Oryzias latipes: one gene and its partners. The protein of the gene in region 1 interacts with the protein of each later gene in a pairwise test. Links are inferred from orthologs where the notes say so. Each region holds a gene or a part of one and is shown in the gene's direction. Other genes may lie near its edges.

Region 1 (3,104 bases):
TTTAGTTTGAAAACTGTCGTAGGAATTTGTGTAGCTCCACGTGAACGCAAGAGTTTAGAACGCAGGAGCTGAGACGTGGACCAGCTAAGGACCAGCTGAACGCAGCCTAAAGGTGGTTCTGGTGGAGTTCTGTTGGTTGAGGGTGGAGCTCCTCTGCGTGGTGACGGACAGAGGAGGAGCTACCTACGGTTATTTTCCACTCCTTTCTTGTCTCTGCAGGTTGACCACAGTGGGCGGAGCTAAGACAAAGGGCGTAGAAGAACCTCCTAGGGAGGTCTGGCTGTGCGCTCAGTTCCGAACCGTGAGCGCTCTTCCCCCGGTCTCTGTCCAAGCTTCACTCTGATGTTTTCCTCCTTGTTTTACCGTCTCCTCCCTCTCTCTGCTTCCAGCTGCTGTCTGACATCAGAGCGGTCATCGGGAGCCCCGCCTCCTCCAAAGAGGCGGAGTCAGAGCTGGCTGACTTCCAGGCGCTCCTGCCGGTGTTGGAGGACTGGGCTGGCCAGCGCCGCCTGCTGAAGGTACGGCGTGGTTCTGGGGTTTCCGCGGTGAGGACGTGCCGATGTGTGACACTGCTGTGTCTTCAGGACCTCCGGGACCTGCTGGTGGACCTGTCAGGCGGGCCTCGAGAGGACTCTGCGGCCGCGGTGAAGGTGGAGGACCTGATCGTGCTGGTGGAGGACATGCTGGAAAACGCATCCAAAGACCCTGAGCAGGTCTGCCGGTCTGCCTGTGGGTCGGCGCTGGTCCGAGCGTCAGGTTCTCACTCTGCTCTGTTCTCCAGAAGCTCCGGAACTCCGCCCCCTACACTCTGAGCGCCATAGTGTCCCACTTCCAGAAGCTGTTCGACGTTCCGTCCCTCAGAGGGGTCTACCCCCGCATGAACGAGGTCTACACGCGGCTGGCAGAGATGACCAACGCCATGAGGAACCTGAAGGACGCTCTGGACCTGGGTAGCTCTGATCCCGTCCGTCCGGCGGCTGGTCTGCGCATTCCTGCAGTCACGCTGGAGTCTTTCTGATTGCAGACGGCAGAGCGTCGCCTGCGGAGGTGGTGAACCACGTGTCTGCGCTGGCGTCTGCTCAGCAGTCGGGACTGCGGGACCTGCTGGAGGAGGCGGACATCGACAGGTGAGCACCTGCAGCTCCAGAGTGGCGCTCGGCTGCTTCCCCTCTTCACGCCGTTCTTCTTCCTGCAGCGTCATCCTCAAAGTGAAGCAGCACGACGAGTTCCTGCCCGCCTTCCACCGCCTCATCACCGACATCCTACAGACTCTGGGTGAGGGTGAAGCTCTGATGTTCTCGTCTCATTACTGAACAGCTGCTGGCTGAAGGAAGATCATCTGCTGTCCTGTTTGTGCTGCAGGTGTGACTCACCTGGAGGAAATCCTTCCTGCTTTGAAGTCTCTGCAGCGTTCTGCAGCCTGATCTCCCGATTATTCCACAAAAAAACCACAGGAGAATAAAACCGTCTCGGTTCCTTCACTTCTCGGAAATTCTTCTGTCCTCCACTAAATACCTGTGGGACATGACCAAAGAGCTGTCAATTGACCCTCTGGACATGACCAAAGACCTGTCAAAGGACACTAGGGACAGGACCAAGGGGCTGTCAAAGGACACTAGGGACATAACCAAGGGGCTGTCAAAGGACACTAGGGACAGGACCAAGGGGCTGTCGAAGGACACTGGGGACAGGACCAAGGGGCTGTCAAAGGACACTAGGGACAGGACCAACGGCTGTCAAAGGACACTAGGGACAGGACCAAGGGGCTGTCAAAGGAAACTAGGGACAGGACCAAGGGGCTGTCAAAGGACACTAGGGACAGGACCAAGGGGCTGTCAATTGACACTAGGGACAGGACCAAGGGGCTGTCAAAGGACACTAGGGACAGTACCAAGGGGCTGTCAAAGGACACTAGGGACATGACCAAAAAGCTGTCAATTGACACTCAGGACATGACCAAAGACCTGTCAAAGGACACTAGGGACAGGACCTAGGGGCTGTCAAAGGACACTAGGGACAGGACCAAGGGGCTGTCAATTGACACTAGGGACAGGACCAAGGGGCTGTCAAAGGACACTAGGGACAGGACCAAGGGGCTGTCAAAGGACACTAGGGACAGGACCAAGGGGCTGTCAAAGGACACTAGGGACAGGACCAAGGGGCTGTCAAAGGACACTAGGGACAGGACCAAGGGACTGTCAATTGACACTAGGACAGGTCCAAGGGACTGTCAAAGGACACTAGGGACAGGACCTAGGAGCTGTCAATTGACACTCGGGAAGGAATCAAATAGCTGTCAGAGGATACCAAGGGCTGGGTGATATGGCCTATAAATATATCTCTTAACATTTGTTTTTCATTCTCATTTCATTTAGACACAAAAAGTACAGAAAATATTTAACAAAAACTCTTATTGTTACGTTTCCTTTGTGAAATAAACACGAATGCTGGTAGAACATATTGGCCTGTTTTTAATGAGCTGCCGCAACTTTTTGTTGTTATAAATATGTTTTATTGTCAAACTGTTTGAATTATGGAAGCATTTTTGTATACAGAAAGTCATTATGGTATTTAAGGTAAATTAAAAACAAATTTTGAACATTTTTTTGTAATTGTGTAGTTTTCTGTGTTTACCATTCTTCCTTTCTATATTCTTTAGCTAAGTGGCCTAGTAGTGGAGTGTCTGCGTTGAGATTGGATGGTTGTGGGTTCAAATCCAAGCAGCTCCATCTAGAATTAAAATTTGAGATTGGAAACAAAGTTGAGGTCAGTTTTCTTGTGATTAAAAACAAACAACAAAAATTAAAGTATTTTTAAAATTTTATCAGAATTGTGAAGGATTTGTACACCCCGGTATATTTTTTTCACGCTCTAATAAAACAAAAAAAGGAACGGACCAATGAGTTCTATCGCTAGAGGAGACATCACGTAGTTCCTCATGGGAGGAGAGCACCGCCATCTTGGTGAGGTCAAGTCACTGCTGCAGTGCATGCATGTGAACACATTTTTTGACAAAATGCCAGTTCATTGTGCAAGTTTCAACTGCCAAAATCGAAGAAATTAGTCCATGAAGGAGGAACGCATAACGTTTGACAGTTAAGTCT
Region 2 (3,954 bases), on another chromosome or scaffold:
CATGCATCCTCCTGTCCTGCTCCCTCATCGCTCTTGAGTTTCCTGTTTTCAAACAGATGTTGCCTTAGGTATTATTTATGTTACACAAACCAAATAAACAGGAGACATCTTTGCTTTTTTCTTTAGATGTGCTACCAGGTGGAGCTACATCTTGTGGGAGAATCTTGGATTTTCCTTTTTTGAGATTCTGTTTTTTTTTTTAAACCAATATTTTTTAGGTGTGTTTCATATTTGCCGTAGGCCTTGATGCAGTGATGCTGTTCAGATAAACCATGTGTTTGAATGCTGGTCTGTTTATAAATTGTGATCGCGACCCTTCTCAACGCCAAGCCTTGGACTGATTTGTTAGCTGAAGAAAAATCCATTCAGATGTGATTGTTTTTGCCTTCTCAATGATGTTTCCAGATAGATCGACTGCTGTTTTTTAGTTTTTACTTTTCTTCCCTTTTTCGATCAGTAAAATTGCACCAGGCAAGTTCAGTCAGCAGCTGAATTTCAGTGGATTTTCATTTTTAAAGTTCAAGTTTTGGATTATTATTATGTCTTCTTAGACTGTTATTGACAAGTCTGGTTTTTTTTTTACTGTTTGGGAAAGAAAAAAAACGATTTTACCATTGAGGTTAAATACAAGAGCTAAACCATGCAGATTAGACGTGTTAGGGGAGTGTACAGTTTTTAAAAATTAGGCAAACCAACAAACACATGTAGCAATATCAACAACAGGTCTTGTTTTTGCCCAATTTTGTTACTTTTATGCAACTTTAATAAAAAATATGTAAAACTGACGATTTGTGGATCATTTTCTTTTAATGTCAATATTTTTGCTCTTCCGTTTATTATTACACGTATCAAAAAAAATTTTGCTGTATATGCATGAGGTTGAGCAAAATTATTTTATGCTCAATTTCATTTTACATTTTGCGTTTCATGTGACGTAAACATAATCAGAAATTGTATTTTTTTCTTGTAGTGTTGTGTTTAAACAACAATTTTTCATTCTACTTAATTATATTATATTTAAATTATATGTTGGAGATGTATATCTAAATTACAATTGGTTCATAGAAGCTGTGTCTTCATTCTGATTGGACAGGGTGCTTGCGGGATGGTTCTTCCTATTGGATAGTCAGGAGCAGCCCTCGACGCTGATTGGTTGATTTTACAGTTCACAGAGTCCGGCAAAGTGTCTAACTGAAGAGGAGCCGATCGAAGAGGAAGTACTTTCCAAAATGGAAATATATCATTAAACCGAACGTTTCTTCTGCATAGCTCGGCTAAGGGACACGGTAAGATGGCTTTCACGTCTGACTTAACAGTAATAAAGATGATTTATGTTTGTTAGTAGCGGATAGCATCCCCCTGTCCGCTCGGACTCAGGGAGTGCGTTCTTCGAGTTAATCCGTGTAGTTCGGTTGGCAGGTCGGTCTGCAAGATGCTCCTATGATTCTCTGGAGTGCTAATTTCCATCTTTAATTAATAAAAACGTTTCAAGAAGATTTCCATGAGAAAGGCGGTTCCTTCGTGTGTAAATGTGATGCGTGCGCAGTGACTGCCGTCTCCGTTTTTGATTCAATTGTTAGCTTGTGTTGCACTTGACTTCACGGAGGTGTGTTTGAGCTCAATGTGGTGAAAGTGCGGCCGAAATGCGAAATAAACATTACAGGGTTTTTAAGTGAGTGCAGCCTTCAAAACGAGCGTCTCTTTTCCTGACTTTAGTGTAGGCTTTAAATCCCGCCGTTGCTTTCATTTTGTTTACCAGTTTACTCTACCTCCATACGGAAGCCAGTTTTGGTCAAGTTAAGCACTGTGAAAGCGGACTTCCGGTTTGAATAAAAACCTAAATGGCAATTTTCAACATTATTGAACCTTTTTAGGCCTTTAGACGTTTAGAAAAAAATTATTTTCAGTTTTTACCACACGCTTATTACACATTTTGCCATGTTATGCAATGTAAAATAATTATTGTTTATTTAGCATTTGTTTTTAGCTAATCGATTTCCGGTTTTGACCCTTGTTATTGTAGCTTTATTAAAGCTAAGTCATCGTCAAGGTTTGACTTAACCACATTACATACTGAATAAATGTAGTTGTAATTTAATGAATTCACCTGTAGAACGTGTATAATAATGTAACGTGAATCTGTTAGACCAAAAACTGTTTGGACATCTTTAAGAATCTTTAAAACTCCTAATGTTATCAAATAAACGAGGTCATCCCATCAGTAAAAACACAAATGCCGCATATCTTACAAACATCATCACAAGAATACTTTAAAAAATATATGGCTTTGATTTAAAAGCATTTGTTTTGCCAGATGTTATAAATGCATTTCTGACATACAGTGTAGGAAGTGTTTGATCTCTTGCTGATTTTGTTGGTTTGCATTCAAAAGAAATTGTCATCTGAACACTATGTTCATTTGAACAGTGAAAGATAGAAAAGCGAGAAATCGATTTTAAAGTATTTGTGAATTTATTTGCGTTTCATTGAGGGAAACTATTATTTTAACTGTCTTGCTGGGAAGACGTAGTACTTTATTGGAAAAGCCTTATTAGCAGCACAGAAGTCAGACATAGTTGATTATCAGGTTTCTGCACATATCAGGAAGAATCTTGGTCCACTCTTCTTTGCAAATGACTTCTAAATCATCAAGCCTTAATGGCTGTCGCTTAGCAACCCTAAGCTTCAGCATTCCCCATAGATTTTCTATAGGACTGAGGTCCAGGGCCACTCCATGGCTTTGATCTGCTTCCTCTGCAGCCATTTCCATGATTGACTTGGCTGTATGATCAGATTTAACTTCCTCCTCCACGCTCGACAGTGGGGATGGTGCTCTTGGGGTCAACAGATCTAGAATCTTCTCCAAATAATCCAGTGAAAGCTCTTTAGTCTCTCATGTTGGAGAGTTTGGAGTCTGAATGATTCTGTGGACAGGTGTCTTTTCTACAGGGGATTGGTTCAAACAGGTGTCTTCAATTCAGGTGACAGGATTAGGAGAGTCTGTGTGAACCAGAACTCTTAATTCTTACTAAAGGATCAAATACTAATTTCCCTCAGTGAAATGCAAATAAATGTATATCAATTCTTTTAAATGGATTCATTGGTTTTCTTTGTGATTTTCTAAATCGCATGAACCATTAAGATGACAGACTAAAACCTTTTTCAGTAACACTCAGGTAGGTCTGTGGACCATCAGGGACATGTGGATTTTGTGACTGAAAGCTTTTGTCGTTGAGCTTGTCGTTGTTGTTTCCAGCTCGCCATGCCGGCCCAACCCCCTGTGAGGGAGCCAGAGGAGAAGATGGGGGCAGAAGGAGAGTCCCAACTCCCTACGGCCAACGGCGACACGGAGGAGCCAAAGCGGAATGAAACGAGAGCAGGAGGGGGAGGAGACGAGCCCATGGAGGAAAGCATGGAGGAGAGGGACAGCGACCTGGATGAGACTGAAGAAGAGGAGGAGGAGGAGGAGGAGGAAGAGGAGAGTTCAGGTAAAAACAAAAAAGGTTTTTTATAGAAGTGATTCAAAAATGCAGAGAGAATAAATTTCCTTTATGTGTCCTTTTGTGAAGAGATGGACGATGAAGACTGTGAGCGGAGGAGAGGAGAGTGTCTCGATGAAATGATGGATCTGGAGAAACAGTTTCAGGAGCTGAAGGAGAAGTAACTCCAAACTTGGCACTGGGGGGGGGGTATTATGGGATGTGGTCTGCTATGTGAACATCACTGGTCAGGAAAACCTCGACTAAAGGGCCTCTGTGCTTGCAGGCTGTTCCGGGAGCGGCTGAACCAGGTGAAGGTGAAGCTGGATGAGGTGCTGACAGGAAAGGCTGGAGAGTACCGGGAGCCGCTGACGGCTCTGCAGAACAGCATGCAGATACGGACGCAAGTCGCCGGTAAAAGAAAAAAACCCTCCTCCCTTCTGCAGCTACGTTCACCCCGCCTCAGTAACGCACA
Region 3 (4,243 bases), on another chromosome or scaffold:
CCAGTGTTTTTAATTAGGGTGATCCCGTTTTTTGCCTAAATCACAAGTTCTGTTTCCTAGAACATAGTTTCTGCAGGAGTTTTATCGGGAATTCACCTCTAAGTTATAGACTGGACCGTTGGTGCAATGTGAGCCTTCCCACACTCCCATCATCCATCTGTTTACACTCTGTCACAGCCCCTCACACCTCCAACTGCTGTGACCAAAATGGCGAGCAAATTTGGAGCTATCCAGCCACAAACAAAGATGTACATGCATCTAGTCATTTACAAGTGGATGTATCAGAATGGAGCAGGGCCGGGAATTTGCCAACTACCTACATCACTGCTACAAGCTTTTCCAACAAGATTTTTTTCGTCTGCTCCTAATTCACAATTTAACTTTTTTTTAAATACTCAGAATCACAAATTTTAAGCGTAATTTTCTTTATATAGAGTGAAGACCGAAAGTTTGGACACACTTTGTGTGTACAGTCCAAACCTTTGGTCTACATCCTCCATCATGAGAAAAATGCTACCAGAAAATTTTAAAAACACCCAAAATGTAATTTTCATTGAAGTGGGTAATAATTGTTTATATTTTGCGCAAATATACTGGATTCCTTTTATGTTTCACGAAGCTAAATAAACATCAATATGTTACAATAATGAAGAGTGTAATCAGAATAAAATAATCTATTCTGTTATGATTTCAAAATAACATGGCCATGCTTGTTCCTGTATTTTGTTACGTTTCTCAAAGAAGAGCAGCTTATCCTGAACTGTGACTTATTTATAATTTTTGTTCCTTCTTTATCGTCCACTTTTTGGCTGCTGCAGCTTGTACTCCAGAACAATTTGTAGCCTGAAAAATACACTATATTTAAACCAAATTAGAACTGTATTTTTGTACAATAAGCAAAGAGTTTCTTTCTTTGTCAGGAGGTGCTAAGGACTAGTGGTCTTAAAACTCAGCAATTAAAGCACCACATTATTATGCTGCGTCTATTAGCAGGAACAGTCATGTTAATTTTTAATGTGAAATCATGGAAAACATACAAATGAGTGGGGAAGTGATTCACAGGAGCATCACAACCATTCAACACACTTATTTCCAAGCGTTATGTGATGTCTAACAACAATTTAAAACATCTAAAAAGTAAATAAATGACTAGTTGGTTTTTAAGTGGGGCAGCAGAGTTTTAACTGTAAAGGAGCAGTGTTTACTTAATGGTGCGTTAATCCCCCAAACACGCCTCAACAAATAATAATGGCACCTTCCAAAGAAAGAGCGACAAGAATGGCCTGTTCCGACTTAGAAAAAAAAAACACGTTTTACTTTAAAACTCTTGTTCGCTCTGGGTTAACGCATTTAAAGCTAAAAATAAAAGTTTTCCAAGTTTGGTCACACATAAAGGGGGGGGGGGTGATACCAATCAAGCTGGTGTTCGTGACTTTTCCACATTCTCTGATCAACAGTTAAGGAAACGCGTCTGTCGTGGAAAAGCGCTCGCGCCCGCCTGCTGCTGGGAACTTTCCTTTCATCTTCCGGTACTTGTTGGGACTCCTGCGGCGCCGCGCGCACCGAACTCCCTGCTCCCGGAGGCGAGGAGACAACCTGGCTGGAAGGGGGTATGGTTGTAGAAGAAGAGGAGGAGCGCTGTGCTGTAGTTTGTGGTAGCTCCACGACACTTGAGTGCAGGATTAGCATGTGCGCCGCTGTTTGCTGCGGTTTCTGTCGGTCGCGGTGAAGCAGAGCCGTCGAGCTTCTTCTTCACGCACGCAGGTGTGCGTTTCCTCTCAATTAGCCTGAGTGTGGACTCATTGACGCGGTGGCAGTCCGCAGAGGTCCTTCACTTCAGCGACCGCCCTGAAGAACAACGTAGGTTATCAAGTATTTTAAATGTTTTATCGACGTTTACCCTATTTAGCCTCAGCAACTCGTTGAAAATCACATCAAACGATGCTTTTTTTTCATTAGTCGAAATATCAATTCTGTTTTAATTTGTGATTATTATCAAAACTAATTATTATTTAGAAGGTAGCCATTCGCAAACATTTGTCATTTTCAGTTGAAAAATAAAATATGGCCTCAATAATGTGTTTTTAAAAACTCGTTTGAATTTTAGTGTTATTTCCTGTTCAATTGTAAGTTGCCCTCCTCCTCCTGCTGTCCTGCTGGTACATTATTATTTTTAGTGAGGCTCAGGCATTCAGAAAACGAGGAAAAAGCCTTTCCAGTCTGTGTCTTTGCCTATTCACTGTAAATTAGTTTATACATCTATATGAGTTTTAACTGACACCATAACAGATGATCACTGTCAGATGAAGATTAAATAAATAAACTGCTGAACTCCACCCTGTCATCTCTCTGCTGGAGGGTGGGAACCAGGCATGACATTCATGTTGTTTTACCATGGTTGACTTTAAACGACCTCACTCCCCGTCAGAGGCACTCTGGTGGATTTTTAGACGCCCCTACATGCTGGATCTGTATTCCCACCCATCAGGGAATAGTTGATAGTTTGCTTTACAGCTGCAGATTTATGTCTCATGTCATGTGAAAATGTTAATTTCTTGGCAAACGTATTTTAACCTTTAAAGGAGGTCTACTTGAATATGTGACTTTATATTTTTTGGGTTTGTTCTGCAAGGCTAAACACAGATTCAGCTTTTGCTGTCTTCCCAAACTGTGGCTTCCTCTTCATGGATCTTGTCTCAGTGGAACGGCTTTAGCCTTAAACCAGTTTATCCACACGGTTCCTAATTGAAATCGCCATGGCTCTGGAAATGATCAATCTGAGCTTCTTGTCCGACTTGGAGCGGGAGAAGATCCTGGAAGTGCTGAAACGGGACGAGGAGCTGAGGCTCACGGAGGAGCGGCGTGTACGGTAAGAAAACAGAAACTCTTATTCGTTTTTACAGTTTCTATAATCTGAAACATTTAACACATGTAAATATTTTAAGGCATGACTAGGACTGAGCATCACTGCCAAAAATACTGAACTGATTTGACATCGCTTCGATAACTTTTGACTTGATTTTGAATTTGATGCGATTTGATTTAATACTTATTAATCAAATTTCTATATAACCCAATTTTGTTTAGTTTTTAAAAAGTTTTCACACAACAACTGATATAAACTAAACAAATATGGAACTTTTATTACTAAAAATTCTCACATTTAAAACGTTTGAAAGCACTTTTTTGTTAGAAAAACAAGTGTAAGAAATTATTAGAAGACCCACTCTAATGGAAATAGATTAATGAACATCTTCATTTTTGTTTTTTTTACATTTTCTTGGAGCATTGTTCTTATGATGGAGGCATATGTGAAGGAAATTAGGATTAAAGTTTCTTTATTCAAATCAATGTAATTCAGGAGCAGAAGAACAAACACTGTTTGAAAGAGCTTGTCATTGCAGCTCTCCTCCGCTCCATTCCAGTGCATCCACTTGTAGACAATTATATCCATTAACGTCTTTTCGTAGCACCAGTAAAGTTAGGTTGAGGTTGTGAAGGGCTGTAAGCCAGTGGGAGAGAGTGTGAACAGAAGAGGTGATGGGAAATGAGTGAAGGCTTACTATCCACCAAGAGTCTAACCCACAACTCAGAGGTGAATTTCTAATAAACTACTGCCGCGCTGCAGAAAAAATGTCCTATAAAAAGTCTTTTTTTTAGATTGTTTTATCTAAAAATATAAATAATATTAATTATAAGACCTCTGGGAACACTTTTACAATAGATCAAAAGATGATTGGAGGGGAACTTTAACTGAAAACTTTTTTCTAAAGTAAAAAAATAAGATCAATTTGGTGTTAAGAGATACTTTTTTTTAACCCTTCAGCTCTTGGATTTCCTAGAGAATTTGGATTTTATGAAGTTATTTATTTAAATAATAACACTGACATGTTTATTGTTTCATCTATGCCAGAAAGTGTAGTAAATGTACTTGGAAAGCGTCTTCTTCATCCTGGATAAATGGCTTTAGCTCTTTGCTGATTTTAGGATAATTCTTTTAAAGACATTGGCATGATTGATGCTTGTTTGAATTAATTGTTCCTGAGCAGGTTCTCCTGCATTTTAGTTAGTATGGTGTTTCTTCAAGTAACCTGTTGCTTTATTATTCAAAGATTTAAGACTTCCAGGTTTTTACCACTATCAGGATCTGGGATTTAACCAAACTATCTCCAGATCTCAGCCCAGTTTTCCAGCTACAATATGATTCACTATGTCGTACCAGGGTATATCACCATGGTAACTT
Region 4 (4,052 bases), on another chromosome or scaffold:
CATAGCTTGTGGCCAAGGTTGACCAATCAGAGAAATCATTAATGTCATAATTTTATTAAAAGATTGCAATTTGTCTTGAGTTTTTGTTATTTTCCTTCTCTGTCATTTTAATGGTTTTTGAATCGCACACATATGTTTGTAGTCTTGTAGACATATTGTAATCACATGCTGGGTGTTTTTAATACAGCCATATAAGATCCAATATGAAAAGACAGCTATGTTCATATTAGGAAATGATTGGACTGAAGTTGAAAAACATTGACTTGATTGTCTGGGATCCCACCAATCTAATGCTGGGGTTTCACAAATAGGTTTGCAGTGACATCTGCTGGCCACTTTACTAAAATGCACATCCAGGTTTTTATAGCACAGTCAGTGACTTATGTTTTTGTTTTTTTGATAGGGTTGTGGTTTTCACTGGAGCTTATCACAGAAGGTACTGTTCACTGTGGACAAGGTCACCATCAGTACCTTGCATAGTAGCCTAATGGCACATTTAGAACAAAATGTAAGAAGATGATATTTACCCTTTTTATGATTTTTGGATCATGAGTTTTTATTGTTTTGTTTTGTTCTTTTTTATAGAGAACACCAACTAAGCCTCACTTTACATTATAATATTAACTTTGTATGCTCACTGTACATGTTTACCATATGACATTTGCTTTGTGATAAAGCAGATACTGACAATGGATGAATGGAAGATGGAATACTATTTTGCCATGCTTTTAGTGTAAATGCCCTTGATTGATAGTTGTAGCAATTTTCTGTGTTTTATCTGTCTTTATGGCAAATATCCATCAGTCTAATGATAACTCTACTGCTCTATAGTTCATTGACAAGTTCAAGTATTTGAAATAAATTTAAGTTAGCCATGTACTGCCTGTGTGTATCATATTTGTGAAATACTGTACATTTCTTAAACTTACTCCATTAAAAACAATAAAAATCCATTTTTCTGATATTCTCTCTTCCTATTATTCCCCAGATTGCATTAAACCTGAATTTACTATCAACAAATAAATAAAAGCATGATAATACATAATAAAATAACGTTATTATTATTATTATTATTATTATTATTATTATTATTATTATTATTATTATTATTGTTATTAGTAGTAGTAGTAGTAGTAGTAGTAGTAGTAGTAGTAGTAGTAATAGTAGTAGTAGTTGTTGTAGTAGTAATAGTAGTAGTAGCATTATATTTTCCACTATATTTTTGCGAAAAAGGACAATAGGACGAGTTCTTTTGAATTTGACGTATTTCACCACGAGCTATGAGTAAGGACGTGATGACGTCAGCGTGCGTGCATTCCACAGAGGGAGTGACCGCCGCCGCCAAATTCAAACAGGAAAGTTCTGCTAGCAGCGACAACAAGCCAATTGAACGCGTGGTTTTTAGGTAAGTTACCGCTTCAGCATTTAGCTGGACGTTGGATTGTCTTTTCTGATTTTTATTTTGTAAGACTGAGCTACCAGTGTCGCGTACTTAGCGGCACTTTTACAAACACGACCTTATTTAATTTGAGTGACGTTACAAACTACAAAGTTATAGTTTAGTCGTAGAAGAACAACCGAAAAATTGTGTGGTTCAGCTCTTGCTATTCAAATGTGGTGTTTTATATATGACGATTCATAACATGCTAACATGACTTCGATGTTTGTTTCATCTGTCGATTGAGTAGTGAGAGCCCCGGGAATAAAACAAAGCGGGGTGGGGCAGTTTGATTGACAACTTTGTTCTTTTCACCCAAGTGTGTGTGTGTGTGTGTGTGGGGGGGGGGGGGGGTATACCGGTGTTGGTGAGCTTTTTGACGGTTTGACCCTCAGCGTTACGTTTTAATACAGCTAGTTATTTCTTTTTTAATCATGCACGTGCATGTTTATTTTATTTTGATGGATTTTTAGTGCTTTAATTCTCATTTGCTGACAAACCAGCAAATGAGACTTAACGACTAACTGTCTTAGAGTGTGTGAGCCCCTTGAAAATCTGCCGTTGATTGTGTCTTATTTTATGTATTGTAAGTGCTCAGAATATGATGGACTTTTAATTTAGTGTCCTTTGATATGTTATTCAGTTTTAAAGTATAAAATTATGAGCTCTCTTTCACATGGTTGAAGTCCCGCTCCCATCATTTGATCTATTTTAGGTGTCCTCAGTGGTCTTGGCCATGTTTAACCAGACTTTGAAAAATAAATAAAAAGCCTGTGTCGTTTTTAGGACATAGTTTCTGCAGAGCAGCAGTAGTCCATTTAAAAAATTGCCCTGAGTTTTGGGTGGGACTGTTGGTGCGGAGTGAGTATCCCCATCCCATCTTCCTGTCACCCTTAACTGAGAGTTATCTGTTTACATGCTCTCTGCAAGTTACAGCCCCTCACAACCCCAACTTTACATTACGTTTGCTACAAAAAATGGTGAGCAATATGGAGCTATCCAGCTGTACAGTTTTAAGCCAAATTCCAGCTATCCAACTGCATTTTTTTGTCTGCTCCTGATTCACAATAAAGCAATACTCAGAAATGTAATTTTGAGCTTATTTTCCTTCATGTATGTCCTCCATCATCAGAGAAATGCTATATTAACATCTCCAAAACACCAAAAACTAGGGCTGCACGACATGAGGAAAACTTAATATTGCGATAACGATATAATTTGCGGTATATAAACAAAGAGCAAAACAACCAAAAATGTTATTCCCATTTCATTGCAACAGTTTAAAGATTATACTCCAAATGACCCTCGTCAACATAGGAGGCGAACATCTAACATAATAGGGCTCCATCTGATTGGTCAACAACGTGACGGGGTCCATCCGATTGGTCAAATGCATAAAGGGATTTATTTGATTCGTTTAATGCTTCAAGTTGCCATAAGATTGTTTTAGCACATGTAGGGGAACCATTCATTGCTATTTTCATTGTCTTTTGCGATATGCAGATTGCACAGCTAGATATTGCGATAGCGATAAATTTGCGGTGTATTGTGCAGGCCTACCAAAAACCCAATTTTCATCCTCAAGGCTTTGTTTCCCCTTATGTTTTACGCATCTCTCAGCGCAGCAGTGATGGATGGTGTTGGCAGAGCTGTGGTTGGAGTCTGGCGAGCACACACAGTCCTAGATGAATCAGATGATGCAGAAAACTCTCCAGAAGCTCCTGACCGTTTCCGCAAACTTCGCTCATCATCTTCCCTGAACTCGCTGCGGATGTCTTTGCGCAAGCGCCTCCCACTCCGCTCGGTCCAGACCGGCTCTCTACCGGAAAATCCCACTTGGGAATCCCTGAAGAATCAGCCTAAACCCAATCCAGTCAGCAAATTTACTCGCAGTGCCCGAAACTCCTTTACGGGAATGTACCAGGTAAAGAAAAAAACATGTAAGAATTGTTCTGGGACAATACCATTTGTGTTTCTTTCAACATCGTCCATTCCGCTGTCTTCTCTTACTCAGAGGTTGCAGAAAAAAAGAGAATTTTCCCGTGAGGAGTGTTTGGTTGCAACACCGGGTCAGGAAGGAGATAATGCTTGTTCCTCAAATTATTGCACTCCAAGCCGTACTCCTGGGCGAGCCACAACAGTCAGGCGAACGCCTAGATCTGCAGCTACTCCCAGGCGGACCCCAACCTCTAAAGGCCAAAAGACCCCTGAGGGATCCATTCGTGGGGTTAAAACAGGAGGAGGCAGGAGGCAACTGGTTCGAATGGCTGCTTTACGAAGTCCTTATGCTTCCCCCAACACACAGAGCCAGAGACTGTGAGTTCAGTCACTGCCTGTGTTCATATGTTGGTGTTTCCCCTTTATGTGTTGGTCCTGATGTCAGCTCTGTTTTCTTCTGATTAAACAGAAAGTTTGACCAAGATTTGGAATCCGTTTCTAATGGACTCAGCAGACTCCAGCGTCTGTCTAAAGCCTTTGATGACATTATGGGAAAACGAGACGGGTAACGTACTTTGGTTTTCTGTAAAGTTTTTCTCTCTTTTTTTTTTTTTTTGTTAGTTTGTGTGGTGTTTGTACATGTGTGGTGGAATAAATTCATATCTTCTCCAAAAAT
Region 5 (4,088 bases), on another chromosome or scaffold:
TGCACTCAAAGCATTTTAGCCACGACTTTCACCTCTTTCTGACAACAAACATGAACGTTTAAATGTAATCATGTTTGCGTTTTTGAGTAATTTTTCATTTGCATCCGTTGTAACAAGAACTCATTTAGGCCCTTTTAACCCTTTAAAGTCTGTTTCTGACTGAATACTTTTGTATTATTTCGGATTCCCATCGCTGTCTTCTGTTTCATACATGGAAAACATTGCTTCCAACCTGCAAATATTGTCCCATGAAATGTTTGCGTTTTGTATAGGTAGACGATCCTTTCTGTATTGGAATTGTTTTTATATGTGAACTGTTATTTTTATTTTATTACAATAATTTAGGAAGTGAATAAATCTATTTCACAGAAGTTTTTTCTCGATCTCTGCTGCGTTTTCTCCGGTGGAAACTTCAAATCTGTTTTTGGGCAGCATCTGACCGTGTTTCAGACGTGGTTTCTGCGTGACTGAAGAACCATGAAAATGTTTCAGCTGCGCTGAAGCTGATGATCCTGCAGTAAAAGCAGAGAAACCGGTTTTGCTTTGACCGGTGGATCTGCGTTCTGACGTGAAACAGCAGCTCTTTTCTGCGTGAGCACTGAGGCATCGATGCTAAAAACAACAGGAGCCTGCAGGACTCAGGCAGAAGCTCAGTGCACGGCAACTCCAAACGCTGACCTTCAAAATAAAAGCTTCAACCTTTCAGCTGCCTTCGATGCCTTTTTTGTTTTTTGAACAAGGATAACAGAATTCTTTTCACATTAAAGAGTAAATCTTACTGCTTCATGAGGTAAATGTTTGTAGCTCGTCTGTATTCCAGTTATTTAATTCCTGTTGATCACGGATTGAGAACTGGAGACTTGCAGGCAGAGACCTAAGAAGACTTTAGACTTTTGAGGAATGTTTCAACATCTATTTACTGTCAAATGTGACGTTTTGACCAACGGCGCAGACTCCAGTGCAAACGTGCAGAAAAATAAAGAGTGAAAATAATTATAATATGCCTGAGAGGATAACCAGATATACTTCAAAGACCTTTGTTGTCACATTTGTGTTTGTATTTCTGTGTTGTTGCTGCTTCATCTCATTCACTGGTTGGTTTATAGTCATTTTTTAACAACAGAATTTTTATTTTCAAAAATCAAAACTTTAAACTCAACTTTGACTCTAAATAAGAAAAACAATCAGAAATTCAGCAAATGAGTAAAATTAAAATATTGATTAAAATATTCAAACTGATGTAAAAGTCAAACTAAATCTGATCCATAAAGGAAGTGCATCACAAACATCCATGCTGGAGAGTTTCCTGTCCATCCCACGGCGTGATAGACAGAGCATTTCTCTCTGAAGCAGTTGTCTTTTTTCTGCTCAGAGTTCCCCGTCTTCAGTTGGACTGAGGCTTTTATTCTGTTAGACTTCTGAAATCCTCTAGTTTGGCGTTTGGAAGGCCTCAGGCTCCATTTAGACTTTGTTTTTTCTGCCTGTTTAGCCTCCATGGCCTAAAATATCTGGAGCTGATGCTGCTCCTCCAGCTGGACCAACTGTGAAAACATCAGCAGGACTCTGTTCATCCATGACGGTTCATGAACCTCTGGAATTCAGAGAGAAGAGCGTGTCAGGAGGAGGAAAACGTACCACGACTCTCATGGTGTAGAATCAGCAGGAATTGAGGTTCTGTTCTCATGTTCCTTGTGTCAGCAGTAAAGGACCCACGACCATAGAATCCCCCTTTGACATGTAAAATCTGTGCAGTTTCATTTAATAATTTGTTTTCTGCTGTTCTTTTCCCGTCAAAGTTAATAAAAGTAATCCAGGTGTTGTGTAGTGCAGTTTACAGACTGTCCGATTAGGGATTTACTTTAAATAATTGTAATGGATTACATTTCAAATGTACTTGTTTCGTCCGATTAAGAGTGGATGACCTTTATTTTGTTGAGCTTCCTGCTTCAACTTGTGCTTTTATTTCGAAGTAGCAACCGGAAACGGGATGGTTTTTGACCGTTTCTAGCTGAGCGTTTGAAAAGAGGAGGAAAGTGGAATGTTTCCTTCCTCTCCATCTGTTGGTTGCGGGACTTCGTGGAGGTTTAGCTGGACTCTTTCGTGTTTGAAATCACCACAAAGCGGATTTTTTTCCCCGCCTGAGATTTTCTGCTCCGCGGGAGGAGCTGCAGGCCGATGCCGGCAGGTGATGATGGATGCCAGCGGGGATCCAGGTGAGGGGGGGGGCTGTCTGCGATTTTCTTGTTGAATTTCAGTTTAACCTTTTGAATGTCTGTGATAAAAAGTAAAACTTTTGAAACGGATGACCCTTTCTTCAGTCAGAACTCCTTGACAAAATTAGAAAAGTTTTACAGAAAAGGTTTCCCGGTCGAGTCTGACTGCAGAAGAATCTGGATCTTTATGATCCAAACCTGAGAGGAAACGTCTGACAAACGTGTGAACGGGAGTCCACATCAAAGCCGTCATGTCTTTGATGTTATCACGTGATCGGACTGTTTTTGCCAGTTCGTTTGGGTCTCAGGTGATTTGCTGCCTCGTGCAGGTGTTTCAGGTCGTTTCCATGTTGTGCTGTGACGTCAGCGTTCTTTAGGGATTGAGTAGCTGAAGAAGTTTCTTTAAACCAGTTTGGGGAGAGGAGGAAGTTTAAAGTCTCTTTGGGCTCCTTTGAAAAGCAGAAAAAGGTATGTAAAGGATGCAAAACGTCAACCAATCAGAGGTCCTGACCCAAGGTGACTTCATGGCTGAAAACCTTCACCTCACGGGAGAATTCTCACCTTTGTACGCAAACACTAAAGTTTACGCTTTTGCTGACATCAGATGAAGTTAAAAACGGCATGAATTCATCCAGATATCCGGGTTCCACAGCAACACCAGATCATCACATCACCACCACCGTGCTTTACACTTGGTGTTTGATTTTCTGCAGAAAACAAACAAGCAGATCAGGTTTGTTCAGATTCAGACTCGGACTCTTAAACCTCCCGGTAAATGTTCTTGATTTTCTGTGAAGTGACTGCAGTTTATGTGAAGCAACAGTTATTTCTCTGCTTGGACGGTTCTGTTGGAGATCTGCAGGATTTTCTTTTAAATAAACCCAAAACAGCTGCTTTTCCAGCTTCTAGAAAATAAAAATCATTTAGAAAACAGTTTGACCTGAGAATCATGAAAGCACGTGTTTTTAGGATGCAATAAATGATGTACAGCTGCTTTTTTTGGACAGCCAATCATTTCAGAGGCTCCCGGGTTTGGAAAGTGAAAGGTGGTGCTTATGCTCTGGGATCCACTACAAGTGTGAACATTATTTTCTGTTCTGATAAAAGAAAAAAAGGTTTTCCTCATAGAGTCAATATTTTCCCTGTTAGGTTGACGTCAACAGCATCTTAAGTTTGAATCCACATTTATTTCCTCATAAAAATGTTTCTTTTTTTGTTGGAGTGTTGGTTAAAGGGCACATCTGCATGGACAGAAGGGGTGGGGTCTATTGAAAACAGATGAGGGGAAAGGATGAGGTGCAGGAATGGAACCTGCAGCCAGACACACGTCTGATCTGCATCTGCGATGCTCGCCGTTCCTGGTTGGAGTCGCTGGAGGTCGGACGGTTTAAAGAGCGTGTTCAGAGTTAGACGGACATGCACTGAGGGAGGGGCGCCTTTCCTTCTGGAAAAACAACTCCCAGGAAGGATTGAGTCATTTTCAGGCTCTGAAACGAGCAGAGAGCGTCCGCTTCACCACAGGCTGCAGAGCTCTGATGAAATCCAGAGGCCAGTAAAGCCCCCCCCCCCCCCTTTAGGATCTTTACATTCGACTCAATGTCAAAAACTAGCAGTCATCATCCACCATCATGTCCTTCAGATAACTTTAAAAAGCTACAGACTCACATCTGGTTGGAGAAGATGCTGCTGAAATACACAAAAGCTTCAAATGAAGCCAAGTCTCTCAGGAACAGTTATTTACTATATTAAAAACTGTAAAAGGATTCAAGTTAGCGGTTGATGTATCTGGTTCTTTTGCAGCAGGATTTGTGGATCCAATCATCAGTTAGATTTGAGCCAAAGCTGGGAAGAACCACTTTGTTTGGAGGAGATCCG
Region 6 (4,175 bases), on another chromosome or scaffold:
AGCCAAAGGTAGGTGCAGCTGCAAGTGACCACGAGGAGGAGAGTCCGCGCGCTGACCATGGTTCTGAAAACCAAAAACTCTTGTTTCTGCGACTCTTTGGAGACAATTGGGAATCACGGGTCCTGTGGAGATCCTTCTATCCAGAGAAGTCCCGTTTTTATAGGCAGATGCTGCACTTGTGACATGCAGGAGCAGCCTCTGAATTATTCAGGCCATCACTCGTTACCTTTGCATCTTTGACAAGACAACACCAGGTCAAATCCTAAGGGGCTAAAGGTGAATTTACATTTAATATCATGTGTTTGCCATCTTAATATCAAAGCTTAGTGGATTTCCTGAACATTTTTAAGCGCAAGATGTGACACTAAATTTTTTATGTTTTTGTATTTGAACATACAGTACATGAAACAGATATTAAGAACTTTTAAAAGTTAATCTAAATAAATCTGTTAAGTTAAAGGTTTATCAATCAGTTATACCAAACAGTTTTATTTATATAATCATCATATCTAGTGTCAGGTTTCAATCAAATCCAACCAACCTCACTGACACCAACCTGTACTCAAGATTCAATTTCCTCCTGTGTGGATAACCTTAAGCCCACCTGCAACACCCCTTTAAAAACGTAGGAACGTGTCCCTGTTGGGATTGGTTTGCACACGAATGCGTGTCAGAGGTAAATCACCACTGACATCATACACCTTAAAGGTCACCATACGGATCACGATCTCTTCCAATGTCTCCTAAAAAGGTAGATTCAAGAAGACAGCCATGACGACAGTGACCAAGCATTGACTCCACTTTAAACCAATCCAGGAATGTTATGCAACATTTAATATGCGGTATGTTTGAACTTTTCATAACCAAGATAAGACTAAAGAGTCATTGTGTTATTATAAACTGGTAGATTCAAATGAAAGTTTCAGGAAACGTGATTGTGTCGTTTTGTTTTGATGCTAGCACTGTTTTCATGGCTCTGATTTAAAAAAAAAAAAAAACTACAACCAGTGTCGGGTAAAACTTAAATACAAAGCTTATCAAATATTCATTCCACTGTCTAAATGTGATGCTTGTCAGTTTACTGCCATAATGTGCATGTTGTAACCTTTGTGTTACAACATACATGTTAAATCTTCTAGAAACCCAACAGTGTCACTTCCTGTGCCGAAACATTATAAATAATCCCTTTACTCTAAAAGAGTCAACTGTAAATTAATATAAACTATAAATAAATCAATGTTACTTCACAAAACCAAGTTAATCCAAATCCATTAAATATCGACCAATCAACTTTACTTTTTTAAATTGTTGTTGTAATTACTCCCTTCTTCCATGTGGGGGCACCATAATATAATTGTTGACCGGAAACAAAAATCTGACATCACCGGAAGTTAAGCCTGCAGCTCTTTTCCCCTTAAAGCTTCGTCGATTTATTTCTCGCTCAATTCTTTGTTTTGGTTAATCCAAAAAAGTTACAATGTCCGAAAGAAAAGTTCTGAATGTAAGTACATCCATATTTATGATATGAAGTGTTTAACTTTAAAGCGGGTAGTTAGGCGTAATTTTAAGAAAAATATTACGTTCTTGAGTTCATTTTTGTAGCATTTGTTACTGTGTTTTCGTATTTATATTGATCCTTTGTGAAATTCAGAAACAATATATTGCTAATAAATTGCCTTTTGCAGAAATACTACCCCCCGGATTTCGATCCAGCCAAAATACCCAAACTCAAACTCCCTAAAGATCGTCAATATGTGGTCCGATTGATGGCTCCCTTCAACATGAGGTTTGTTTTTTACTTGTGTTGTGTGCGTATACGACAGCGTGTTCCAGTTCCTGTCAATATCCAGCAAGTTCGCACAGCCATTGAAGAAGAGTGGACCAAATTCCACAGGCCACAATAGCCTCCTTAGACCCGGCCAATTCATTTATGTCCTCTATAATGGACATTTTGTTTACCTTTATATTTCTAAGGAGTTAAGAGATACCTTTCCAAATCCTACTCTACACTGCAGAGGACATCCTGGGCTTTCCAGTGATGTGTCAGGTGATGAGTTTGCATGCTGGGAACTTTAAGTTTTACCTCTACCAAGATGGCTTCCATACCATTAACCTGTTTTTATGGAAAGGTGAAAGGCAAGTCAAAATGTCTGTATCTATTCATTTTTTTTTACCATGATAATTATATATAATCTTGGTCATAAACATGTTAGGAACAATATTTTTAGATCTGAAAACAGTTTCATGTTTTCTGTTTTAAAACAGCAGGCATTTAATGAATGTCCACTGTAGAGGACACCGGGAGCATTTTAATGTATTTAATGGCTGCACATTATTTTAGGAGAAAAAAGTGAAGCAGAGAGGATTCTATGCCAGATAGTTGAGGAAGATTCAGATTTGGAGCTTTAGGATGATGAAAAGGATGAGGAGGATGAGATTCAGGAAAATATAACTTGTTTTTTTAATTAACTAGATTTTTTTTTGTGTTTTTTAAACGTCCATCATAACAGGTTTACACCTGTGCTAGCAGGGCGCCCTGCCTCTCAAGATGACTCCAAAGCTTGTGAATACTGGTGTCCAATCCTGTACTTTTCACAGTACATTGATAACAACATTTTCGAGGATCTGTTTTTGATCTAGTTGTGTTCCAACTACCGGGGAATCACACTCCTCAGCCTCCCTGGGAAAGTCTATGCCAGGGTACTGGAGAAGAGAGTCCATCCTATAGTCGAACCTCAGATCCAGGAACAACAGTTAGGTTTCCGTCCTGGTCGTGTAACAGTGGACCAGCTCTACACCCTATCTAGGGCGCTGGAGGGATTGCGGGAGTTCGCTCATTCAGTCCATATGTGTTTTGTGGATTTGGAGAAGGTGTTCGACCGCGTCCCCCGTATCCTGTGGATGGTTCTCTGGGAGTATGGGGTCCGGGGAGCCTTACTGAGGGCTGTCTGCTCTCTGTATGACCGGAGCAAGGGCTTGGTTCGCATAGCCGACAGTAAGTCAAACCTGTTTCCGGTGCACTTTGGACTCTGGCAGGGATGCTCTTTATCATAGTTCATAGTTTTTATGGACAGAATTTCTAGGGCACAGACAGGTGCCGTTGGGGGTCTGGTTTGGGGACCACAGGATTTCAGCTCTGCTCTTTGCAGATGACGTTGTCCTGTTGGCTTCATTAAGCCGGGACCTCCAGCATGCATTGGGGTGGTTTGTGGCAGAGCGTGAAGCGGCTGGGATGAGGGTCAGCACCGCTAACTCTGAGGCCATGGTTCTCGACCAAAGAAAGGTAGTTTGCCATCTCTATGTGGGTGGAGTCTCCCTGCCCCAGGTGGAGAAGTTTAAATATCTTGGAGTCTTGTCCATGAGGGGAGGGAAGACAGGAACGTGAGATTGACAGGCGGATCGGAGCAGTGTCCGTAGTTATGTGGTTGCTGTTCCGGTACGTTGTGGTGAGGAGAGAGCAGAGCCAATAAGCAAAGCTCTCAATTTACTGGTCAATCTTCCTCTGTAGCAGATGGTCCAACAAGTGACAAAAGTGATATAGAATTTTATTGTTTTAGAAAAAAATGTAATGTTTTTTGGATGAATATCACTCTTAAGATTTAATCTGCTCCTTTGTCTGATTTACCTAATTGAGTTCTACTTTCACAGAAATATCGTCCTGTTGTCCTCTACAGTGGACATGTTGGGAAATTAAAATAAAAAATAATTTAAAAAAATTAAAATTGTGAGGGTTTTTTTTAGACCTAAATAGATAGGAATTCACACAAAAACAAAAATTGGAAGACACTTTTTTTCCTCGGTTCTCAGGAGGATAGACAACCTGATCAACTCTATGCGAAGGAGATGTGTCGCACTTCATGAGGCAAATGGTGGTCACACCAGATACTGACTGGTTGTCTGAGTCCCCTGACCCCCTCAATAAAACAAAACTGAAGATTTCAGACTGGCCTTTTCTCGTGGCCAGTCTAAGGCACACCTGTGCAATACTCGTGCTGTTTAATCAGCATCTTGATATGGCACACCTGTAAGGTGGATGGATTGTCTTGGCAAAGGAGAAGTGCTCAATATCACAGATTTGTGAACAATATTTCAGAGAACTGGTTATTTTGTGTATGTGGAAAATGTTTCACATCTTTGAGTTCATACCATAAAAAATGGGAGCAACAACAAAAGTT
Region 7 (4,225 bases), on another chromosome or scaffold:
CAGGTTGAATTCCTCCAAACTTTTTCCTCAGACGTTCACGTAAGGTTGCCTTCCAGCAGCAGCCGTGGTCGTTTACCAGCTGACTCCATCCAGCTGTTCAGCTTCATACGTTGAGTGTTTGGAAGGATGTTTGGAAACATGAAAACAAAAACGGATGAATCAAATTTTCCAAAAGGAGGTTCCTGCCTTGGAAGACTCTGAAGCAAAATGACCTTGATGTTCTGTATTCATTCATGTTCTAAGCCGCTTTGTTCCTTTTGGGGTCACGGGGCTGCTGCTGCCTATCCCGGCCACTGGAGGGTGAAGGCAGGGGACACCCTGGACAGGTTGCCAGTCTGTCGCAGGGCCACAAATCACACCGGTCTGATCTGACAGAGTTTGTCTTTTCAGATCTCTGTCCTGTTTTCTTTTATTTGTAATTGTTGACGTGTATGTGCCGCAGCACTTTGGTTGTTATTTTTCTTTGCTCAGAGTAATGTATTTAAAGGTATTGGTAATGTTTTTGTGGGGCGGTTTTGTTAAAGGTGGGCTTTTCTTTTTCTTTTTTTTTTGAAGAAATCATCTTTAGGATCAGAGGGGCATCTCAAAAAAGCTCTTTTTTTGTTTGTACATAACAATTCTTCATCTAAAATGTAAGCTTTGTCTGCAGAACTCACTCCTATAGTTAATAATAAATAATGTTTGGAGATTTTAGGATCTATGGGTATACGGGCTGGAAATGTCAGGAATCAGTTTTCACGTCAAACTACAGTCAAAGGAACATAGAAAGGTTTAATCCGTTTGCATTCAAACTCTCTGACCGGTCAAGCGTCGGTCGTCAGCCTTTAACCAGTGCTTTTTTTTTTTTTTTGGTTTTCTTTGAAATTGTTACTTTATTTTTGTCTTTTGCCCTATCAAATGTATGTCTTTCTTTTAAAGTTTTATAATAAAATGTCACAACAGAATTTCACCTGCAGTTTGTGTACCTTTTTATATAGAAGATAATCAAGAAGTAAGACTCAAAACAACATCTCTGCTGGTTCGACTGATGGAAGTTTGCCATAAAATTGGTTTGACGAACAAAGTGGTGATGCTGCGTTTTGAAAATCAGTGTATCATAAAAGAAAAAGGAAAATACTTAAACTCAATTAACAAAAAAGCGCGATATTTCCACGAAAATGTTCCAGTAATGAAGTTCCTTCTACCAAGATCTAAAACTTAATGCTAAATATGAAGCTGCAATTCTTTGTATGCAATACGCTTCTATAGATAATTGCAAGAAAAGCATGACGAGATTCCACAAGAAATGAGAGTTGAACTGCTTTATAATGGAATGTAAATTTAATAATAAACAATATTAACCTTTTTTCCTTAACAGGTGTTGTGCCAAGAAATGTTTCCCCTGCCGGAATTTGTTTCCGCTGTCGCGGCACAACTTCTGGGACTGGGATCGTTGATTTGTTTCGTAGCCCTCATATTTTGCCACATTATATCGTAGACATGCACCTTCCTTTTACGCTTATATTTTAGTTTTAAGAGACAAATTAACGATATCAGATACAGGGGAAACAAATCCTGGGAGGGGAAACATATCTTGGCACAACTCCTAGCTCGGCGGAACGATCCATAAGTACTTGTTTTCCGTCGGACGGAATCAAATGACGCGCATGTAAATAAAGTGGACCACCGCCGCTCACTCACGTGTTCACAATGAAAAACAGTAAAAACTTTAACCGGGCCTCAAAGAAGTCTACATTTAAGCCCAGATCTAAGAGGAGAGAAAACAAATGCGTCGTTACGTTTGATGACAAAGACAGACAGTAAGTTTAAAGACGATAAAAATGTTTTTAACGGTTAGCTTTGGCTAATATTAGCATAACATGCTTGTGAATTCAAACTGAAAACAGAGACAGGAGAAGTTGTTGGGTGATATCTATCTATCTATCCAGCTGTCTATCTATACTGGTATTTTAAAAAAGGATATGACGGAAATAACTAAACAAAAAATGAAAGCACCGTCTGTGGTCTGTTTTATATTTAAACACAGGTAATAAATGTCAGCGCTTGTTTGTTATTTTTCTTCCAAGCCTGGCATATACCTTATAGCAACTCTTTCACTTACTTTTGCTGAAACTTTTGACCTGTAATCACTCCACCACCTGTGATGACGACAGGAGAATACGAAATAATAGGGAAAAAGTGCCAGGCACCTTACCTGTGCCACGGGTTTATGTCCTTTAGGTTGGAGTTATGTTTCCTCTAGAAATTGCTTTATTTCTGATTCATGATTCATTTTTAGTCTCCTACAGTTTTCAGCTCAAAATGGGAGTTTGAATTTTAAATAAGAGGCCTTTTACCTTTTCCCCTTTTCAAGAGAGTATCTCACTGGATTCCACAAGCGGAAGTTGGAAAGAAAGAAAGCAGCAGTGAAAGAAATAGAAAATAAAATAAAGGATGAGCAAAAAAGAGTCAAAGAAGAAGTAAGGTTCAAAATTTAGGATCTGACTTCCATCAGATCTGCTTTGCCTAACAAGAAATGCTGTCATTTATTGTGCTTTTATTTTTTTGTAGAGGCTTAAAGAATACATTAAAATGCTAAAGGAGAGGACAGAAGCTCTTGGTGAGTAAACCAAGAAGTAGATAGTTGTTATTTTTCCTTTTGACGCTAAAGTCCGATTACCTTCTTCCTTTCTGGGTTGCAGCTGACGATGATCTTCTGGAAGATGTAGTGACGAGTAAAACTGAGTCTGTACAGTATGATCACCCAAACCATACTGTTACTGTGACGACCATCAACGATCTAGACCTCTCTGGGAACCATCTGCTTGAAACAACACGGGTAAACATTTAAGTCTTTTCTTTGGTTCTTTGAGTAAAAAGGTTTTAGCAAAAAAAAAAAAAAACTGCTGGTATTTGGTTTTCCAAATGAGCAGGATGGGGATGAAGGCAGCAAGGAAGAGGACGAAGAGAAGAAAGAACAAATTCCCACCATGCCAAAAAAAGCGGGGAATCCAATCATCAACAAGAAGTAAGTGGATTCTGTTGATATACATGTATGTGTGTGTGTGTGTGTATATACACCCAAGAGTCACCCAAGGTCACCTTACAGGTACAAAACAATCATAAAACTAGTTACAAGAAGAAAACATTTGTTAAGTTCATTAAAAACAACAACAAAAAAAACAATAGAATTATAAATTAATTAGGGTGGATTTGCTAGTCTCAAGAAGTGGGTTTTGAGATTTTTAGCAAACTGAAGGAGTGAGTCCATGTTCCGTAAATCAGAGGGAAGTGAGTTCCAGAGCTGGGGGGCAGAGCTCATGGAGGTGAGCCCACCGGTGGGTGCAACCAGCTGGAGGGAGGAGGCAGGACCCCAGGACAGAGCCTTGGGGCACACCTGTGATAACTGGAACTGTAGGAGAGGTGAATGCTTGCAATTGGAGGGTTGACTGTTTGAGTTTGCGGACAGGTAAATACTTTTTGCCCCACTGCACATGGATTTAGTCGTCGCAGGGAGCTTGTGACCCGTAAGACATACATAGGAGATGCGCTCCTTTCCATTTTTTCGTCTGCTCCTTAATCACAATGATTTGAATAAAGAAATATTCAGAAATAGACTCCAGCTTCCTCCCACCATCCAAAAACATGCTTCATAGGTTAATTGGTTACTTTAAGCTGTCCCTAGGTGTGAATGTGAGTGTGCAAGGGTGTGTGATTTGTGGCCCTGCGACAGACTGGCGACCTGTCCAGGATGTCCCCCTCCTTCGCCCACGAGTGGCCAGGATAGGCTCCAGCAGCCCCGTGACCCCGAAAGAGACAAAACGGGTTTAGAAAATGAATGAATGAAAATACTCAGAAGTGCAATTTTGAGATCAATTTTCTTTACTTATTTTCTCTATCATCAGTATAATGACACAAGAACATGTTAAAAACACCACAAAAAGTTTTCATGGGAGTGTCTGTTTTAATAAAAACAACAAGCAGTAGAAGAGGAAGATTGAGGAAGATCTGATTGATGAAATATTTCAGTCTGACAATCTGGGTCTGAAAGGGGGGACATGGTCTATAGATCTATGTTTGCATCAACTAAATTGTTTGTTTTATATAAAATCATCATTCAATGCTGCGTCTGATGGATAAATAAGACACATGAACTCCGTTTTTTCCCCGAATGTTCCCTTGTTTGGAATGAGTTGTGGATTTAAACGTGCTCACTGACCGCCGTCACTCTCAGATCTTAGTGTAA

What was found.
Region 2: the proteins of cep70 (region 1) and brms1 interact in binary tests that used the Homo sapiens proteins (3 or more experiments, as listed by UniProt). The two-hybrid records come from large-scale screens. The link is inferred for Oryzias latipes from reciprocal best matches to the Homo sapiens genes CEP70 and BRMS1.
Region 3: the proteins of cep70 (region 1) and sytl4 interact in binary tests that used the Homo sapiens proteins (3 or more experiments, as listed by UniProt). The two-hybrid records come from large-scale screens. The link is inferred for Oryzias latipes from reciprocal best matches to the Homo sapiens genes CEP70 and SYTL4.
Region 4: the proteins of cep70 (region 1) and uncharacterized protein LOC101171023 interact in binary tests that used the Homo sapiens proteins (3 or more experiments, as listed by UniProt). The two-hybrid records come from large-scale screens. The link is inferred for Oryzias latipes from reciprocal best matches to the Homo sapiens genes CEP70 and PIMREG.
Region 5: the proteins of cep70 (region 1) and arhgef3 interact in binary tests that used the Homo sapiens proteins (3 or more experiments, as listed by UniProt). The link is inferred for Oryzias latipes from reciprocal best matches to the Homo sapiens genes CEP70 and ARHGEF3.
Region 6: the proteins of cep70 (region 1) and ccdc94 interact in a two-hybrid assay, tested with the Homo sapiens proteins (2 studies listed by BioGRID and IntAct). The two-hybrid records come from large-scale screens. The link is inferred for Oryzias latipes from reciprocal best matches to the Homo sapiens genes CEP70 and YJU2.
Region 7: the proteins of cep70 (region 1) and nol12 interact in binary tests that used the Homo sapiens proteins (3 or more experiments, as listed by UniProt). The two-hybrid records come from large-scale screens. The link is inferred for Oryzias latipes from reciprocal best matches to the Homo sapiens genes CEP70 and NOL12.

Annotation. Positions count from the first base shown.
Region 1 is NC_019860.2:1,154,314-1,157,417, reverse strand, and holds the end of cep70 (centrosomal protein of 70 kDa), read left to right. Parts: intron 1-219; coding exon 220-301; intron 302-389; coding exon 390-518; intron 519-584; coding exon 585-713; intron 714-781; coding exon 782-950; intron 951-1,024; coding exon 1,025-1,127; intron 1,128-1,195; coding exon 1,196-1,275; intron 1,276-1,362; coding exon 1,363-1,424; 3' UTR 1,425-2,604; downstream 2,605-3,104.
Region 2 is NC_019876.2:12,603,394-12,607,347, reverse strand, and holds the start of brms1 (breast cancer metastasis-suppressor 1), read left to right. Parts: upstream 1-1,154; 5' UTR 1,155-1,286; intron 1,287-3,065; exon of another isoform or gene 3,066-3,176; intron 3,177-3,256; 5' UTR 3,257-3,262; coding exon 3,263-3,488; intron 3,489-3,569; coding exon 3,570-3,660; intron 3,661-3,765; coding exon 3,766-3,893; intron 3,894-3,954. UniProt on the Homo sapiens protein: Transcriptional repressor. Down-regulates transcription activation by NF-kappa-B by promoting the deacetylation of RELA at 'Lys-310'. Promotes HDAC1 binding to promoter regions.
Region 3 is NC_019868.2:10,075,580-10,079,822, forward strand, and holds the start of sytl4 (synaptotagmin-like protein 4), read left to right. Parts: upstream 1-1,443; 5' UTR 1,444-1,860; intron 1,861-2,632; 5' UTR 2,633-2,756; coding exon 2,757-2,869; intron 2,870-4,243. UniProt on the Homo sapiens protein: Modulates exocytosis of dense-core granules and secretion of hormones in the pancreas and the pituitary. Interacts with vesicles containing negatively charged phospholipids in a Ca(2+)-independent manner.
Region 4 is NC_019872.2:12,650,590-12,654,641, reverse strand, and holds the start of uncharacterized protein LOC101171023, read left to right. Parts: upstream 1-1,252; 5' UTR 1,253-1,280; coding exon 1,281-1,405; intron 1,406-3,058; coding exon 3,059-3,362; intron 3,363-3,452; coding exon 3,453-3,754; intron 3,755-3,845; coding exon 3,846-3,941; intron 3,942-4,052. UniProt on the Homo sapiens protein: During mitosis, may play a role in the control of metaphase-to-anaphase transition.
Region 5 is NC_019863.2:32,612,986-32,617,073, forward strand, and holds the start of arhgef3 (rho guanine nucleotide exchange factor 3), read left to right. Parts: upstream 1-1,288; 5' UTR 1,289-2,175; coding exon 2,176-2,213; intron 2,214-4,088. UniProt on the Homo sapiens protein: Acts as a guanine nucleotide exchange factor (GEF) for RhoA and RhoB GTPases.
Region 6 is NC_019880.2:9,141,798-9,145,972, reverse strand, and holds the start of ccdc94 (coiled-coil domain-containing protein 94), read left to right. Parts: upstream 1-1,375; 5' UTR 1,376-1,477; coding exon 1,478-1,501; intron 1,502-1,685; coding exon 1,686-1,786; intron 1,787-4,175. Other genes in the region: cocaine- and amphetamine-regulated transcript ch22 precursor, read right to left, coding at 1-59.
Region 7 is NC_019866.2:20,007,494-20,011,718, forward strand, and holds the start of nol12 (nucleolar protein 12), read left to right. Parts: upstream 1-1,425; 5' UTR 1,426-1,689; coding exon 1,690-1,799; intron 1,800-2,353; coding exon 2,354-2,459; intron 2,460-2,550; coding exon 2,551-2,599; intron 2,600-2,681; coding exon 2,682-2,818; intron 2,819-2,912; coding exon 2,913-3,007; intron 3,008-4,225. UniProt on the Homo sapiens protein: Multifunctional RNA binding protein that plays a role in RNA metabolism and DNA maintenance. Participates in the resolution of DNA stress and the maintenance of genome integrity by localizing to sites of DNA insults.